Rattus norvegicus: one gene and its partners. The protein of the gene in region 3 purifies or fractionates together with the protein of the main gene of each other region. This does not show direct contact. Links are inferred from orthologs where the notes say so. Each region holds a gene or a part of one and is shown on either strand. Other genes may lie near its edges.

Region 1 (3,516 bases), on a different chromosome or scaffold from region 3:
AGGGGATGTCACCCAAAGCCTACCACCGGTGTGTACATTTGCTTTTTCCCATTGTCCCTTCCAGTTGGCCACTCTTGGTCCTATTAAATTCATTTTGCAAATTAGTCAACATATTTGAGTTCCCATTGTATGATAAGAAGAAAATGTTATTGGGGAATACTAAAAAAGAACAAATCTCTTTTCTGGAAGAACTTAGCTTTTACTTGGGAGAAAGTAATACCTAACACTTGGCAAACAGTGTCAGAGTATAATGTGATCTAACATGAGCCGAGCTCGGAGTGCTGAGACGGTGTGAAAGAACAGTTGGATCAGAGTGGGGTGAGATAGATAATGAGGAGAACTTCCTGGAGGAGGTGAGTTTTAGACAGGATTTGTGGGAAAGGAAGAAGAGCATTACAAACATAGGCAGTAGCACTGGTAAAGATCTTGACATGGGAACATTTATCAGAACATGGGAATGAAATTTGCTTGAATCAGGAAGGAGAATGATGAAGTTGGGTGAATGGTCCACTTGGTGGAATATCTAGAAGACCCTGCTTCTTGCAAGTAGTTTTTGAAAGATTGTCGTATTTCCCTGGGGAAACCACAGGATGCTGGTAGGGGTTGGGATGGTTCTTCCTTTTTCCCCTAGGGAGGGATACAATTCTTTCATTTTGGGTTCCTTTAGGAGGTGTTTGGTGATGACTCTGAGATCTCAAAGGAATCATCAGGGGTAAAGAAGCGGCGAATACCCCGTTTTGAGGAGGTAGAAGAGGAACCAGAGGTGATCCCTGGACCTCCGTCAGAAAGCCCTGGCATGCTAACGAAGCTCCAGGTCAGTTAAAAGAAGCAAAGGGATTTTTGTGAGTTGAAGCACATGGGTTCAGGCCCACAGTGATCGTGATTTGAGTTTGTGTTAACTACTTGGGGGAGTTTTATTTTTTCCTTTATATTTTAGCAGTCTTTGGTTTGATCAGAAGTAACCCAGCTAAGAATTATTGAAATTGGATTTATTGAGCACCTGGTATGATACATCATCATCGGAAAAAGAAAATGAAATGACAGCACTTAGCTTGACTTCAGAGCTTCTTTCTGATTTTGTTAGGACATAACCAGGGTTCATGGAGACATCTCTAAAGAGCCTGCACCATTGCCCATGCACACCTACAGTAGGAATTCAGGGTCCGATAATGTGATTATTAACATTTTTAAAGACAAGGTCTTGCTATTTAGCCCTGGCTGGCCTGCGATTCACAATGTATAAGATCAGGCTGGCCTCAGACACAGAGATCTGCCTGCTCTTGCTTTCCAAGTGCTGAGATTAAAGGCGTGTGCTGTCATGCGTGGCTCATAACCATGATTTTTAAACATACTGTGAATGTTTATGTGCACACAGGAACCTGTGGGAGTTACGTGTCAGATACCCTAGGACTGGTTAGAGATGGTTGTGAGCCACCTCGTGGATGCTAGGACCTGAACTCAGGGCCTGTACAAGAGTGGTTGGTGCTTTAGCTCTGAACCATTTCTATAGTCTCCCTGCCTGCTTTTAACATAGTAGCTTGTTAGGAAGCACGCATGCACTGCTTTCCCCCCTTTTAGATTTGTGAGAAGTTAAGGTATTAATGCCTTATCCAAAGAAATACAGGCAGAAAGTGTGGCGCAGTTCTAGCCTTATACTGTCTGAGTCTCAGTCACTGTAGTGTATGCTACCTAATATACCAGTCCTAACTTGGGGGTGGGGAACGATCAGAAAATTCTGGTGCTTAAGTGTATATCTTCTTGTCTGTGGTATAGATAATATATTTATTGTGGAGACATTCACAAAATTTTGGGTCTCTGGAACTGAATGCCTTTTCATTTAGGACCATGTATGGGGGAAATTAATCTTTTCAACCTTTTCCCTCTGGAGAGCAGATCAAACAGATGATGGAGGCAGCAACGAGACAAATCGAGGAAAGGAAAAAGCAGCTGAGCTTCATCAGCCCCCCTGCACCTCAGGTACTGAAAGACGGGTTAGCACATAGTCTGTTGTCATTCGTCCACTCGAGGGTCCAGCAAGTGCTCCAGCTGTCTGCCATAATCTGCCACGGTGTCTATGTGTGTATCTGTGTTATGCCTGTTTCAAACTCTTGGATTTCTTTTAATCTCTGTCTTATAGCCAAAGACACCTTCTTCTTCCCAACCAGAGCGACTTCCAATTGGCAACACTATTCAGCCCTCCCAGGCCGCTACCTTTATGAATGATGCCATTGAGAAGGCAAGGAAAGCCGCTGAACTACAAGCCCGAATCCAGGCCCAGCTGGCTTTGAAGCCAGGGCTTATTGGCAATGCCAACATGGTGGGCCTAGCTAATCTCCATGCCATGGGCATAGCTCCACCGTGAGTATCCTTCACACAGTCCCTTGTCACTTCTAACATTTTTGGAGTAGTTAATTAAAGGTAATTTACTTACATGTTTCTGTCTTTTTTTCTAAGATTTATTTATTTTATATATGTGAGCACACTGTAACTGTCTTCAGACACACCAGAAGAGGGCATCGGATCCCTTTATGGATGGTTGTGAGCCATCATGTGGTTGCTGGGAATTGAACTCAGGTCCTTTGGAAGAGCAGTCAGTGCTCTTAACCGCTAAGCCACCTCTCCGGCCTGTTAATGACTTATTTTCTCAAAGAACATTAAATAATTTCTTACAGTTTTATATTTTTAATATATGATCTAAATTCAGTTGCATTTATTTTTGGCTTTTGTTGTCTGCTTATAACTGGTAGAAATAAAATAATGTTTTCACTTAATAACAGAGGTAAGAATAGAATCAGATTTCTGGACTTATTACTTAAGAGCTTCAGCCACTAAACAATATTGGTTGAGACTCTATATGTCTGCAACTCTAACTCAGGAGGGAGAAGCAAGAATAGTGAGGTAAATACGAATTTAGACTAGTCTACATAACAAGTCCTAGGCCAGCCAGAACTTCGTAGCAAGACCCTGTCTCCTTTGTGATTGGTCTAGCATCCCAAGACTAAGAACTTGGGTGCAAATGATAGAGTTGTTTCCCATGCATCCCAGTAGTAGAACGTCTGGCTAGTATGCAGGAGGCCTTGGGCTCTCAGTCCCTTGAACCACCACAAAAGGGATGGGGGTGAAGGGGAATAACCTAGAAGATGGCTCAATGGTTAAACCACTGGTTCTTCTTCCAAAGGATTCAGGTTCAATTCCTAGTGTCCACATGGTGGCTCACAATTGTTTGTGACTCCAGTTCTGTAGGACCCAATGCACTTACACAGACTTACATGCAGACAAAACACCAATGCAGGTGAAATAAGAACAAAAAAGGGCAGGTGAGGGTTTGGTGGAAAGGTGGCTAGTAGTTCAGAGTACTTGCTGCTATTCCAGAGGACCAAGGTTTGGTTCTCCGTACTCACAGGTTGGCTATCTTTAAGTCTGGTTCTGGAGGACCTGAAAATAAATTTTGAAAAAGGAGAAGAATTTGGGAATAAAACAAGATTAGATAATGACCAGGTGGTGGCAAGAGCACAT
Region 2 (3,516 bases), on a different chromosome or scaffold from region 3:
AGAGATAATTATTAGCACCTAAATGAAATCACAAACAGTGTTAATCAAAATGTCTGAACATTTAACACAAACCTTCACATCACCAAAAAGATTCTCTGTCTCCAAACTTTCCTGTGAACGTGGAGGTGTTTTGAAAACAGGATTTTCTTCTTTTATCTGTAATTGAGTGTTATGGTCTGGAGAGAATTTACTAGAGCACTGGAGGGTGCGCTGCTGTAAGCAGTATGTCTCTGCAGAGTCTTGGGCTAGTGTGCAGGCCCCACTCAAGGCCTTGCGGCCTGAGGAGGAGCCCTTGGGAACGGGCTTCAGAGCCTCATAAATAGTCACTTGCTTAAGTTTGTGTTTGCAAGTTTCATCCCCGTGGTTCTTCTCTTGACGCTGATTAGCTGCAAACCGATCTGACAGGTCCAGAGGTTTATCCATCACATGGTCTCCATTCACAGGGAACTGATTCTCCATTGGAAAAGGAAGGGCATTTTCCTTATCAAAACAGGTCTGCGGGCAGTGTACTGCGTGCTCACCCTCTTCCTCAGTCCTCTTCCTTTTGGACGCTTTGCCTCCCAGTGATTTCAAAGGCACCAGGTGTTTATCACTAACAGCATCTTTCATGTGATCAGCACCACCCTGCTCGTCGACAGAGTCACTAACGTTTTTACTTGTAAGAATCTGCTTACTAGGAAATGACTGGCTGATGACCTTTACCTCAGACCCAGCACTTTGTTGTGTGAAAAGGGCATTATCCTCTGATTTGGATCTAACTTTCTCTGATCTAGAAACAGAAATGCTGCTAAAGGGAGCTGTGCTCAGAAGGTTTTTTTTCCCACTGTCTAAGAGTGAAGGGGAGAAACTTGTTTTCAAACCCAAATGAGTTTTCACGGTAGAGGTAGGTCCAAACACGGGAGATGACCCCCGAGTAGTGAGTTCTCGGGGAGGGGCCTTTGAAGCAGAGTCTGAAAACCTAAATAAACAAAGAATATATAAGATTTCTTAAAACTGAAAATGGGGTAAAAATTTAAAAAACAGTACATTAAAACATTTCTTGATACAGAATAGTAAGGTGCTATCCACCCATTAGAGGCAGATGATTAACACAAATGTAAGAAGCAGTGTTGTTTTCTCCTTATTTAGCAGAGCAGATGAAAGTAGAAATGAGCCACTGAGGACTCCAGAGCCCACTGAGGACTCCGAGTCTTTTGCTATTATTAAACTTATGAGAAATCCCAAGAAAAAATTCCTACATCGCAGAACTGAATGTAAACGCTCTCAATAGCTATACGATCTTAGACAAGATATTCAACCCTTGGAGCCACATTTCTGTTGTCCATTTAAATAAAAGAGAAATGGGAATAAAACTTACTTGATGAGTTATTAACAGATGAACCTAAACTAAGCAGGATGTGGGGAGAAAGCATGAGAGAAGGGGCAGGAACAAGACAGCAAAATAAATCCTCTAAGCTTCGATCAATTCATATCCTAAGCATGCCTTATCAACATAAGTACTGTTAGTAAATATTATGATATTTGAGAAAAACGACAAGAAGAAGGCAGCTCACTGGTCAGAAGCACTGACAACTGCTGCAGGGCATCCAGGTTGAGTCCCAGCACCCACACAGTGGCTCACAGACATTTACAACTCCAGCTCGAGAGCTTCTGAGCCATGACCTCCTGGGAATACATGGTACGCACACACACACACACACACACACACACACAGAGGCCCACACACAAATGTTACATAAGCTGGGTCTTTCGCACCATTTAGTGTTTGGAGACACAGTGTAAAGACTTTATTTACTGGGATAAAGCAAAGCTGGGAGGTCTTGACGATGCTTGATGATGCGGGAGGAGAATATGGACAGGGCACCAGCAGCCACTTTGGGGGAGTGCAGTGCTGAGACACTCAGCCTTGTAAGCTTTATGGAGCTACACTAACAAAACAAAACAAAATAAAACAAACAAAAATATCCATGCTCAAAATTACCTTACGTTATCTTCGTTCCTTATTGCAGATTCCATAAAAGGCTGTTTTTTGTGATCTTCTTTGAGACAGTGGTAGAGCTCATTTCCAAGAGGGCTCACAGGACCTTGGGGTTCCTTCAATAGTAAAGCATGCTTAAAGTGGATAAATGCTACAATGCAAATAAATCCCCAAAATATATGAAGTGAAAGGAATCAGAATGAAGAGCTATGTAATCAGACAGAGAATGGAGCTGCACAATATTGTGAGTATATAAATATCACTGTACTGTAGGCTTTAAAGCCACTAATTTTGTTATCTAAATTTTATCACAATAAAAAAATATGAAGAGAAGAAAGTGCTAATGTTTTAATACTTTATATAACTTACTACTGCATAGAAATAGTTCAATACCAAAATACGTTAAAATGAAGGGTAGAAAACACAGGTGAATGTAAAAGGAAACTTTAGAGGAAATTCTTAGGATTGCACACAAGTCACCTGGGAATCGATCATAAAAGCACAAGCTCAATAAATCTGAAATCCTGTGCCTGTGATACATTCAAGAACGGTAAAGACGCTGTTGACCGTGAATCAGACTGTAAGAAGAATCCTTTGATAGCTTCTCCTCTAATAGATTTCATATCTAAACTTGTTAGATCTATGGCTAGTAAGGAACTAGAGACTATAAAACACACACAAATGTTCACAAGCTAAGAATTACCCACTATAACTTCAGGATGAATTTTAAAAGTGTAAAATCAAAATGTAATGAAAAACTAACTCAAGTTTAAGAAACTCAACAGTGAGACAGTTTTCTAAGAGAAAAGCAAAGGAAGACTATTTTAAATCTGTCACTTGTTTGTTTATTTTCGTACTGTCAGTGGTCAAACTTAGGGCCTTACATACATTATGCAAATGCTTGATCACTGAACCAATTTAAATCCCCAGTCCTTAAACTGTATCAAAACAGAACTTAACCTAGCATTTGTGGAGCCTTGGGTTCTAATACTCAGAACTACAAACAGATGAAAACTCTCTAATTTTGCCCTCCGGAAACGACTTAGTGGCTGAGCAGCTCTTGCCGCTCTTGCAGAGGACTGGAGTTTGACTACCAGCACTCATATCAAGCAGCTCCAACTGCTTCTAGCTCCAGCTTCAGGGAGGTCTCAGGACCTCTTCTAGCCTCCACAGGCATCTGACCAGAACATATACAAACCAGCAGGTAGATGTATATCTAAAACAAACAAACAAACAAACAAACAAACAACAGAACAAAACCCCCAAACACCAAGAACCTAAGACTGGGAACTGCAAATGTTTTATGTTGTAAGATTAAGGGGAAAGACAGACATAGGAAAGTATTAAAGTAACTAAAACAATTGGAAAGTCAGTCTCTGACCCAACTTTTAAAGATTATGGTTAGCTGAATTGGTAGGTTCTTAAAATTCAGGTCATTTTTCGAACCAAATGAAAATTTAATGGCTGTCAGAAAATTCAATCTTTTTTTTTTTTTTCTTTTTTTCGGAGCTGGGGACCGAACCCAGGGCCTTGCGCTT
Region 3 (4,316 bases):
GAGAGGGCCTAATCTAGGCCAGGTATTCACTAGGAGAAATGACTGGTAAGAGAATAAGTAAAGGAAGCTTTTGGGTGCCCATATCTGTGATTCCAGCATTTGGGAGGTCTGGGCAAAGAGGTCAGTCTCCACTGCACGATGAGTTTGAGGTCAGCTTGGGCTACAAGAGACCATATCTGTAAAAGACAAAACAAAGCTACACATGCTGACACATGCCTTTAGATCCCAGCACTTAGGAGGCATAGACACTTGGATCTCTAAGAGTTCCAGTCCAGCTTGGTCTACACAGGGAATTCCAGACCACCCAAGGTTACCTAATAAGACCCTGTCTGAAAAAAATAAACAAGGGACTGGAAAGAGAATTCAGAAGTTAAGAGAGGGGCTGGAGAGATGGCTCAGTGGTTAAGAACTCCGACCGCTCTTCCAGAGGTCCTGAGTTCAATTCCCGGCAACCACATGGTGGCTCACAACCATCTGTAATGGGATCTGATGCCCTCTTCTGGGGTGTCTGAAGGTAGCTACAGTGTACTTATATGAATAACATAATAAATCTTAAAAAAAAGAGAGAGAGAGAGAGAGAGAGAAGTTGAGAGTTTGGCGCTCTTCCCAGCACCCATGAATGGTATGCACAACTCTATTCTGCACAGGTACATGAATGTCATGAATGTCATACATATACTCAGACAGACAGACAGACAGACACACACACACCATAAAGCTGGCTGTGCCGTCACTTATCTGTAATCCAAGTACACAAGAAGCAGATGCAGAAGGGTCTGCAAGTTTAAGGCCAGCCTGGCATACATTTCTAGTTCCAAACCAGCAGGGGCTCACAGGGAGACCTTGTCTCGGAAACAAACAAACAAACAAAACACCAAGCAAACAAAAACATAAACGATTTCTAAAAGAATTTTAAAATTTAATTACATTTGGGAGGGGGGGGTCACAGTATGTAGCCCAGGATAGCCTTGAACTCAAAGAGATCCACCTGTGTATGCCTCCCAGATGCTGGGATTAAAGTTGTGTGACACTATGCATAGTTAGGATTTTATTTACTTTGGTTTTTCAAGACATGGTTTCTCTGACTGTCCTGGACTAACTCAGTAGACCGGGCTGACCTCAAACTCGGAGATCTACCTGCCTCTGCCTCCCAAGCGCTGGGACTAAAAATGTGCGCCACCACTCCTGGGCTAGGATTTTATTTTTAACTATGCACTTTATTAGTTATGCACATAAGTATGAGTATAAATGCAAGTGCCCTTAGAGGTCGGGGCGTGGATATCCCTGGAGCTTGAGTTATACATGACTGAGAGATACCCAACATGAGCGCTGGGCCTCAAACTCACATTCCGCAAGCCCATTATAAGTTCTTAACTGCTGAGCAGTCTCTCCAGCCCATGAGCACTCATGTAAAATGGACGCTTTCTAGAAGTAAAATGTTTACTAAGTTATTAATTGCATTGCCCAAACCTTGGCAGCAATACCTCTCTCCAGGCCTTAAGACTACAGGTACGCTCATCCATACCAAGCTGAGTATTCTTTATGTGTCATCCCTTTGCAGAATAATTTCTAAAGTAGCTCTCTCAATTTGTCTGGCCTTTCATTGGCTCAATTTAAACAGCATAAAACTATACCTAAACCACACCCCCCAAACACATAATTTCTATTCTCCTTTCCAGTCCCTATATTGGTAATATTCTTTTTTTTTTTTTTTTTTTTTTTTGAGCTGGGAACCAAACCCAGGGCCTTGCGCTTGCTAGGCAAACGCTCTACCACTGAGCTAAATCCCCAACCCCATATTGGTAATATTCAATGGGAAACCTACGCTAGTATTTGACTCCTACACAGTAGCACCACCCAGCCATTTCTCCACTACTGAGGAGTACTATCCCTTCTAGTTAACAATCTACTGAGACGCCTCATATTTGAATCTGCTCAAATAAACCTGGAATATTTTTTTTTTGGAGGACTCATGCTCACTGTATAAGAGACCAGCCCTGAAACTACAGCAACCTTCCAGTCTGCGCCTGCAAAACAACAGTAAAGCATATGCCACCACGCCTGGCAAAATCTTGCAACTTCCGATCTTCTATTTTGCTCCCCTCCCCTCCCACTCTTAGATCTAACTACTGCTACAATTGTTCCTGACCAGCTGACAATCTGAGTTCTTAGACATTTATTCAGTGTCTGGCCTTGAATTCTGTTCCGCAGTTTACAAGTTACAAAGTATCTGCTTCTGATAGTCTCTCAACCTCCTGAGCGTCATAAGCCACAAATTGCTACCCAGTTTTAATTCTTAAGGAGCCGAGGTCTAGAAGATGTGGACGCTTCCCCCACCAAGGTCAGCATCAAGTCTTCGATGGTTAAGTGCTTTCCCACCTTCCTGCTCCCGCCGACCGGAGCACTCCCCCATTTCTATATTCTACACCCCTTATCCCCTCCGGCCCAAGACTCTTGTGAATACGAATGGACCAAGACAAACCCCAGATCTGTCAACGCTGTACCCTAGCTGATCTCGGGGTTTCTTTCATCAGCGGCTGCTGTCAAGCCACTCTTTCAGAGACTCCAGGCACCGCCCCCGGCCCGCCTCTACCTAAAACTAAGGAAAGGGGTCCGGCCTGAGGGCCAGCGAGCCGGCCTGACGCTCTGCGCGGTGGGAGGGCAGAGCGGACGCTCACCACTGAGCCCCACGCTGGAGCGTGGTCCCCATCAAGGCTCCGAGCTCCGTCTTCTGGGTCTCCACATCCGGTCGCTCATGGGTGCCCCGGCCTTCCGCCATCTCGTCCGCCGCCCGGGCCCAGCCGGCCCGGACATCCGCCTAGCGCACGGCGTGCTAAGGACCGCGCCCACGCACGCACGTAACCACGCACGTGCGCGCGCCCGGCACCGTCGGCTTCCGCCTCTCCTCCCCGCCCCCACGCGCTGTGCCCTGGAGCAGAAGCGGACGGAAGAGGCTGGACACCCAGAGGCGTTGGCCCCACCATCCTGGTCTGCGGGGTTATCCTGATGCTATACCGGTGCAGGAGAAGACTGCTGCTTGCTTTTCTTGTTTCCACTCCGCTCCATTCTGCTTTCAGCTTGACTGCCTAAATGTGAGATTGAATTTACTGCCTCGACAGCCCCTGTAGCCAGGTGCGGTGCACACAGACACATTGGAATCTGGACTGTCCGGTGTGGTCCAGCCATTAACAATTGTCTGAACAAGGTCCAGCGAGATGGTTCCGTGGGTGACAACTGGGTCTGATGCCCAGAACCCATGTAAAGGTGCCAGAAGAAAACTGACTCCTTAAACTTGTCCTTTGTTCCCGACATACCCAATAGTGAAATCTGTTGTTTGAGACAGAGTCTTCTAGCTGGCTGTCCTGGAGCTGCTTACGTAAACTAGGCTGGTCTCGAACTTAGATCCGTCTGCCCTTTTTTCTCCAGAGTGCTGGGATTTAAGGCATACAACACCACACCTGCAAAAAATAAAAATAAACAGTCATAAATAGACTCAAAAAACAAAGTTTGTCTTAAACAACTGAATCCTGTTAGCCTTCCAGGTCAAAGCGAGAGAGGCAACCACCAAAGTCGACTGTGATAGGAATGAGGTCCAGGCATTTTTTTTTTCCCTTGGAACAATGATTGCGTGTTCTGCCGGGCGGTGACGACGCACGCTTTTAATCCAGCACTCAGGAAGCAGAGGTAGGCAGATCTCTGAATTCGAGGCCAGCCTGGTCTACAGAGAGAATTCTAGGACAACCAAGGCTACACTTCCCTTGAAAAAAAAAGAAAGAGACTCTCAAGCAGGTTTAAAGCACGGTTCTTCTGAAGGGAAAAATCCATCTATGGAGGTGCCCAGGCAACTGGTGTGTTTTTACTTTTCAGGCAAATCCTGTTCGTAACAGTCAGGCAAGTAAAACAGCTTCTTTTTTTTTTTTTTCTTTTTGGAGCTGGGGACCGAACCCAGGGCCTTGTGCTTGCTAGGCAAGCGCTCTACCACTGAGCTAAATCCCCAACCCCGAGTAAGACAGCTTCTTGCAGGATACCCAAGCATGTGCAAACCCTTGGTTTCTAGCTGCCCTTCAAAAAACTAAAAACAAACGAGCAAAACCCCAATTTCCACACCTTCCTACCGTGTATTATAGTACAGATCTTTTTTTTTTCCGGAGCTGAGGACCGAACCCAGGGCCTTGCGCTTGCTAGGCAAGCGCTCTACCACTGAGCTAAATCCTCAACCCCAGTACAGATCTTTTTTAAAGATACATTTATTTTATGTGTGTGTGTGTGTGTGTGTGTGTGTGTGTGTGTGTGTGTATGCCCTGCATAAAGTGTAT
Region 4 (3,516 bases), about 12 Mb from region 3:
GCTCTCCGTGTGGTACCAAAACAGCAGTTACTCCCATGCACCAGGGCCCTGCCTAGCTCATTACTGACACCGCTCAAGTTGTATTTGTACCAACATTCTCCTTGCTCTGAGACATGGCCCACACAATGCTCTACACCCAAAGAGCATCTAAACTCCCATGTCTCAAGCAAAAACGAGGTTACTGCTCCTCCCCCCAACCCCTTCCCAGTGCCAGGCAGCACTCCTTGTCTGGGTGGTCTCCTCAGTAGCTGTCATTGTTGTGTGCTGTCCACTCCTGTCATAGCACACATTCCTTTGTTCTATTCTGAGACAAGGCCTTGCTAAATAACCCAGGAAGTCCTAGACCTCTTGACTCTGCCCCTGCCTAAGTGCTAGGGCTCCATGTCTGTGCACTGAGCCCAGCACCTGCCTTCGAGTCTTGTGCTCATCTTCACAAGACTACGTAGGAACAGCTCCCCATCGCTCCACAGATGAATGCATGGTATAGGTCAATTACACCACTTCAAAGATAAACATCCACATCAGAATGACCCGGACATCTTAGAAAGTCCATGCACATCCATCTCCAGCTATCCCAGCTACCTATGAACTTTATCAATCTACAAACATATTTAAACAAGTCTTACAGGCCCCTGGTTTCACTGTTAGCAACGACCTCAGTAACCTGAAGTGTTCCCAACAACCCAAAGATGGCTGCTGCAACCCAGTGCCTCATCTTCAGCGCCTTCCCCCACATAATGCCTTCACCATTTCCCACCTCTACTTGGGATCTAAAGCTTGCTTGGTTCAGCAGCCTAGACAGATGTTAGCTGCTTACTGAAAGGAAGCCAGAGAACTGAAACTACTTTCACCCTAACCAAGAGGCTTGGACATGAACCTTGTTTTTCTTTATCACCAGGCACAACATAAACTGCCATACATAGCTGCCCAATTAAAACGCAGGACAAAAACAGTAGGGAACGGCTCACTGAGAAGAAGACATTCACAACAAATCTCACACAGAACAAGACAGACATAACCACTTCTCTAGTAAGCTGGACTCTATATTCACAGGGTTGCTAGTGAGGCCCAACCTCACATTTACCAAAATCAAAATCAGAAACAAGCTTTATGGAGCGATGTGCTTTTGTCTTTGACAAATAACTGAGCAGTAACGCAGGGAAAGGTGAGTGTGCACTGTGAGCTCTCAGACTGTGTATGTGCACTCACCAGCTTCCACGATGGCCGGCTTGTTGCTAGAGCAGACAGACAGCACCTTCAGCACTCTGCTTGTGGTCCACAGGAGCTTCTCGTACGTGTAGGTTCTCATTATGTTTACTAAGGCTTGGGGTCCACCACTGGCCAGAATGATGAGCTAGAGAGATGGAACTGTCAGTCAGGAGACTCAGGAAATGCTGGAGCGGCCATCACCAGTTCCTGTACTTAAGAACTCTAGCCAGCCTGCAATTCCACGTTCTCTGGAGCCCTCTGATCCACAGCCTCCAAGTAGGGTCCCAAGGATGTGACTCCTGTGCTACATTCTGCTCAAATCCAGGCACCCCCACTCTCTCAAGTATATACCAGCTCAAGCTAGAGATGGCTCTTCCAGAAGACCCAGGTTCAAGTCCCAGGACCTACATGGCAGCTCACAACTGTCTGCAAATCCAGTTCCAGTGGATCTGACACCCTCACACAGACATACATGCAGGCAAACCAGAAATGTGTGGAAAAAAACTATTAAAAAAAAAAAACAAAAACAAAACTCTTGCCACCTCCCCACAGTGAACACAAAGGAAAAAGACCATGAAAAGCAAGTGGGGTTGCCTGTAGTAGTGGTGAAGGTTCTGTCAGAACAGCCAGCTGAAAATGGCACTAAGAGTCTGTAGCTTCCGACCCTGATCTTACATGTGCACACTTATGAGACACTGTAGAGTACCCACTCCTACATCCGTAAGGTCCTTGAACATCTCCACAGGCAGGTCTCATCCCGTGCTTGTGTTTAAGATCACAGAGCCTCACAGGATCCCCAAAGCTCTCAACACACTGTCTCCTAACCTCTCTCCAGCACACTACCCTCTCCCTCCTCAGGACTGTAGATGTCATCCTCTCACCGCCTCCTCCTGGGTAACACCTCACTTCCTCTCAGAGATCTCTACAAGACCCCAAAACACCATTTCCTCTGTACACCCAGCCCCTCTTCTCTGCCCAAGTGTACACACTCACTCAGGAGGCCTCTCCCCATCCCTTCAGTGCTTAGCACGGCACAGAGCTTCAATGTTTACAGACACATTCTCTAGGATGCACACAAAGGATGGGACACACATCTCTGAGCCTGTGTGGTGAGGACTCTGTGGAGAGAGACAACCTTCAGCACTCTACCTTGCTTTCCTGATTGCCGTAAGCTAAGATCTGAAGGCAGTCTGTCGTAATAGCCAAGAACTTCACGTTTGTTTTGTTGAGCAAAGCAACCATTTTCTGCAGCCCACCAGCTAGGCGCACTGCCATTTTAGCTCCTTCCTGATGTAGCAGGAGATTATGCAGCGTGGTGATGGCGTAGAACAGTACGGAATCCACTGGCGACCTGGAAGAAAGGGGAGCACCTTTGTTGGCCACGCCAGCAACCCTCTACTTCCTACAGCGCATTCCCTGACCATGTTCTCTTCTTACCCAAGCATTTTCACCAGCGCTGGGATGCCGCCAGATTTAAAGATGGCCAACAAGCCCTCTCGATGGTGGGAAAGGTTGTGTAGGGTCCCAGCGGTACAACGGGCTGTTTCTACGTCATTTGTATTCTGCATGGTGCGCACTATGGCAGACACCATCTGAGGGGAGCGCATGATGGCGTGTCTGGAAGCTTCCTTTTTGGAAAGCTGGTGAACCATAACAGCAGCTTTATTAACGACCACCTAGAATAAGGGTGGAGAGGCACCATGAGTTTCCAAAACCGGATATGGGGCAGCCAGCCATTGGCATCCCCTTGACAGCTTCCCTCACAGTAAACTGAAAAGCTAGCGGCATCACTGCTCACCTGGTCCTCGTCATTTAGCAGTTTGGTCAGCTCAGGAATTGCACGGGTGGCAAGTTCCGCGTCATCCTGATAGTTAATCAAATTGACAACTGCATGTTTCAGCATCTGTGACGGTTCAGCCAAGCGCTGGACATTAGTGGGATGAGCGGCATCAAACTGCGTGGATGGGATCTGCATGCCCTCATCTAGTGTCTCAGGGAACATGGCAGCTCGGACCCTCTGAGCCCGAGTCATGGCGTACTGACCGTCAATGTCTGGGAAAGGTAAATCCAACACTCACTGGGCATGTGAGACTCCGTTGCCCTCCGCCTTCCCTCCACCCCACCCATGCTGGGCTGAGCCCCACGCAGCCCTGTCAGGGAAGGTAACACAGAGAGTTGCTTTACCAGCTACTTGCTCTTGCGTGAAGGACTGGGAAAAGCCTTGCTCCCACTCATAAAGGACTTGGGAGGTGTCCACATCTTCTTCCTCAGGATTGCCCTTGCCACTCAGGGAAGGAGCTGTGGTGG
Region 5 (3,516 bases), about 51 Mb from region 3:
CTTGCCTAGCAAGCACAAGGCCCTGGGTTCGATCCCCAGCTCCGAAAAAAAGAAAAGAAAAGAAAAAAAAAGAATCATAATAAACTTTTTCCCAAATATGATGATCTAGAGAGTACTCTTAGAGTTTCAAAGAAAATCCCCATCAGGAGCTGTCCAGCACAGAAAAGCCAAAAACAGGTGGAAGAGCGACTGTATCATCCTGGCTGCCTTGTAACTCTATGTAAACCATGCTGCCTTCAAATGGTGATGATTGGAGGTGGCGATCCTGCCTTTGTCTCCTAAATGTAGGATTCTGGGCAAGAGCTGCAATGCCCTGTTGGTTCCTTCCTCTTTCCTGTTGCCATGGAAAAGTCTATTGTGCTTATGATTATCACCTTACCTTCCCGATAGCCTTCCACAAGCATTTCTCCTTATGTACTACCGTAGAGAACATTTGCAGTTCTTCCTGTGGACAGTGCCAGATTTTCTTAGTCTCTGACTCTCTGGGTGAGATGTCTTTCACCCTAGCGTCCTCTGCATGTGTCTTTTCCAGTGCGCAGACTGAGTCCCTTAAAGGAAGTACTGTGTCTCTGTGTAGCTTGCTCATAACCAGGGCTCACCACATAGTAAGGGCATTGTATGTTGAAAAGCAAATGGGTGAAAGAATTTAAGAAAGCTACTAGCATTCTGGAAATCTAAGGAGGCTATAGAGCTGTTCTTAACAACTGGGTCTCTAAAGTAGTGTATGAGTTGCAAGTTGGTGGCTGGGCATGGTCTGTAGATGTCCTGCTACCTTTCTTAATTTCACTTCTGTTAACCCTGAGTTACTGCAGTTTTGCAGAGTGCAGTTTCTTCCTTAACCCCAGTTTCATCTCTACCACTTTCCTATTGCTACTATAATTTTGAGACTTGGACTTTTGTGTGTTTCAGGGCAGGTGATATTACAGAATTAAAAATCTTGGAGATACCAGGTCCTGGAGACAACCAGCAGTTTGGAGACCTTCATCAGACAGAATTAGGCCCTTCTGGTGTTGGGTACCAAATGAGTATCAATCAGAATGGAACAGGCAAGGTGGTCAAGAAGCCAGCCTCTTCCAGTAGTGCCCCTCAGAGCATCCCTAAGAGGACAGATATGAAGAGCCAGGACGTTGCCATTTCTCCTCAGCAGCAGCAGTGCTCAAAGAGTTATGTGGACAGGCACATGGAGTCTTTGAGTCAGTCCAAGAGCTTCCGTCGTCGGCACAACTCCTGTAAGTACAGTCAAGGTGCTGTCTTTTGTAACCTGGTGTTTCAGGCTGTAAACACTTACCTACTGTTGCTCCTTCCATGAGTCCGTGATTCCTCATACAAAGGGTTTCATGGAGATACAGTGTGTTTCTGCCATTCTAGGGCCAGTCCCTCAAGATACCAAGGAAAAGGAAATGACTTATTAGAGGTTCACCCAAGCTTCTTGCCCACTTTGTCACTTTTCTCCCTTCAGGAAAGGTCTTGGATCTGCACCATATTCATGTTTTAAATCTCATAACTGTTGGGGTTGTGATACCTGATTGACTCTACTTGGGGTATTCCAGCTAATTTCTTGAGTAGACTTTTACTTAGAGAGGAGGGGCTAGTGTAGGCATTGCTGTTACCTTTCATTTCTAACAAGCTGATTGGTTTGTTTGTTTGTTTGCTTTGTTTGTTGAGGTACTGTGGACTGAACCCAGAGCTTTGCATATCTGGCAAGCATTCGGCCACCAAACACTTAACCCTAGCCTTAATTGAGTATTTTACTTTTATTTTTTTTATGTCCCCACTAAAGGCGATTAAGGAAAGCACTTACTGGTATATATTACTCTCTGGTCTTGCTTGCTAGTAACAGATATAGAACCATAGATGGGTCACTAAAACCTGTAATGTTTTTAAACGTGTACTAGAGTAATGTAATTTTGAGATATAACAGATTTGTTCACATCTGTTATGTTCCTTAAATACATATGAATGGTCTTTTTAAAATTACTTCTAGGAAGGCTGGATAATCAGCCTGTTGGTTAAGAGCACTTGTTTTTGTAGAAGACCCCATTTTAATTCCCAGCATGCAAATGGGAAGTTTACAACTCTGTAACTCTAATCCCAGGAGAATCTGATACTGTGTCCTGATTTCCAAAGGCACTAAGCAAACATGTGCTAATATATGTATATGTAGGCAAAACATATAAAGTAATAAAATAGGACAATTTTAAAAATTACTTCTAGGACTGGAGAGAAAGCTCAGTAGTTAAGAGCAGTTTGGCTGTTTTTACAGAGGACCTAAATTCAATTCTCAGCACATAACTGCCTGTAACTCGAGCTCCGAAGGTTCTCTTCTGTCTTTTGGATACCTGTATATATTTATAGACACACAGACACATACATATAAATAAAAATAAATATTTAAAAATGGGTTTGGAGGGGTTGAGGATTTAGTTCAGTGGTAGAGTGCTTGCCTAGGAAGCGCAAGGCCCTGGGTTCGGTCCCCAGCTCCGAAAAAAAGAACCAAAAAAAAAAAAAAAAAAAAAGGGTCTGGAGAGGTGGCTCAGCAGTTAAGAGCACTGACTGCTTTTTTTGAGGTCTGAGTTCAGTTCCCAGCAACCACATGGTGGCTCAAAACCATCTGTAAAGGGATCTGATGCTCCCTTCTAGTGTCTGAAAAGAGCAACAGTGTACTCATATACATAAAATAAATAAATAATTCTTTTTAAAAAAAGTTTAAAAGAAAAGTACTTCTAAATAGTAAACTATCTTAGGGTTACTGTTGTTACAATGTAACACCATGACCAAAGCAACTGAGAGGAAAGGGTTTATTCAGTGTACACATCTACATGATAGCTCATAATTAAGGAAGTCAGGACAGGAACTTAAACAGGGAGGCAGGAGCGGATGCAGGAGCCACAGAGGAATGCTGCTAACTGGCTTGCTCCTCATGGCTTGCTCAGCCTGTCCTCCCATACAGCCCTGGACCACCAGCCCAGGGGATGACACGACCCACAATGGGCTGATTCCCATTCCCACCCCCCCAATCAATTATTAACTTAAGAAAATGGGCTATAGGCTTGTCCACAGCCAGATCCCATGGAGGCATTTCCCCAATTGAGGTTCCCTTCTCTCAGGTGACTCCAGCCTGTGTCAGGTTTACTATCCAGCACACTATTCTTACTTTTCTTACATTTTATACCTAGAAGTAGTAGCAAATATATTAGGAATTTTAAGTGTGTTTTCGTTGATACATGTAAAACTCAAACTAGAGTCATACTAAAATAAAGCCAAGGCATTTCCTACTAAAAGGCAGAATTTAGAATGAGCTGTTTTCTAGAGCCCACATAGGAGTGGGAGAGTTGATTACAAAAGGTTCCAGATGCCACTTACTGTCCTTTTGGCTCCTTGTTATTGTCCCAGTGACCGTCATAAGATTTTGGTGTGCTCTTCAGTTCCAACTTGTGATGTGACATTTGTGTCAAGCCTGACATTTAAGTTTTAGAAATTCCAACTTTGGGCTGAAGCAATGGCTCAGCAGGTTAG

The links.
Region 1: the proteins of Usp4 (region 3) and Prpf3 purify together in Homo sapiens (co-immunoprecipitation; 4 studies listed by BioGRID and IntAct, with this or other methods). This does not show direct contact. The link is inferred for Rattus norvegicus from reciprocal best matches to the Homo sapiens genes USP4 and PRPF3.
Region 2: the proteins of Usp4 (region 3) and Rbbp8 purify together in Homo sapiens (affinity purification with western blotting; 3 studies listed by BioGRID, with this or other methods). This does not show direct contact. The link is inferred for Rattus norvegicus from reciprocal best matches to the Homo sapiens genes USP4 and RBBP8.
Region 4: the proteins of Usp4 (region 3) and Ctnnb1 purify together in Homo sapiens (affinity purification with western blotting; 3 studies listed by BioGRID). This does not show direct contact. The link is inferred for Rattus norvegicus from reciprocal best matches to the Homo sapiens genes USP4 and CTNNB1.
Region 5: the proteins of Usp4 (region 3) and Edc3 purify together in Homo sapiens (co-immunoprecipitation; 3 studies listed by BioGRID and IntAct, with this or other methods). This does not show direct contact. The link is inferred for Rattus norvegicus from reciprocal best matches to the Homo sapiens genes USP4 and EDC3.

The regions. Positions count from the first base shown.
Region 1 is NC_086020.1:186,082,427-186,085,942, reverse strand, and holds part of Prpf3 (U4/U6 small nuclear ribonucleoprotein Prp3), read left to right. Parts: intron 1-667; coding exon 668-814; intron 815-1,893; coding exon 1,894-1,977; intron 1,978-2,137; coding exon 2,138-2,358; intron 2,359-3,516. UniProt on the Homo sapiens protein: Plays a role in pre-mRNA splicing as component of the U4/U6-U5 tri-snRNP complex that is involved in spliceosome assembly, and as component of the precatalytic spliceosome (spliceosome B complex).
Region 2 is NC_086036.1:3,239,979-3,243,494, reverse strand, and holds part of Rbbp8 (DNA endonuclease RBBP8), read right to left. Parts: intron 2,095-3,516; coding exon 1,982-2,094; intron 959-1,981; coding exon 73-958; intron 1-72. UniProt on the Homo sapiens protein: Endonuclease that cooperates with the MRE11-RAD50-NBN (MRN) complex in DNA-end resection, the first step of double-strand break (DSB) repair through the homologous recombination (HR) pathway.
Region 3 is NC_086026.1:117,913,142-117,917,457, reverse strand, and holds the start of Usp4 (ubiquitin carboxyl-terminal hydrolase 4), read right to left. Parts: upstream 2,804-4,316; 5' UTR 2,780-2,803; coding exon 2,679-2,779; intron 1-2,678.
Region 4 is NC_086026.1:129,534,561-129,538,076, reverse strand, and holds part of Ctnnb1 (catenin beta-1), read right to left. Parts: coding exon 3,394-3,516; intron 3,262-3,393; coding exon 3,008-3,261; intron 2,886-3,007; coding exon 2,647-2,885; intron 2,561-2,646; coding exon 2,359-2,560; intron 1,355-2,358; coding exon 1,210-1,354; intron 1-1,209. UniProt on the Homo sapiens protein: Key downstream component of the canonical Wnt signaling pathway.
Region 5 is NC_086026.1:67,008,524-67,012,039, forward strand, and holds part of Edc3 (enhancer of mRNA-decapping protein 3), read left to right. Parts: intron 1-909; coding exon 910-1,229; intron 1,230-3,516. UniProt on the Homo sapiens protein: Binds single-stranded RNA. Involved in the process of mRNA degradation and in the positive regulation of mRNA decapping. May play a role in spermiogenesis and oogenesis.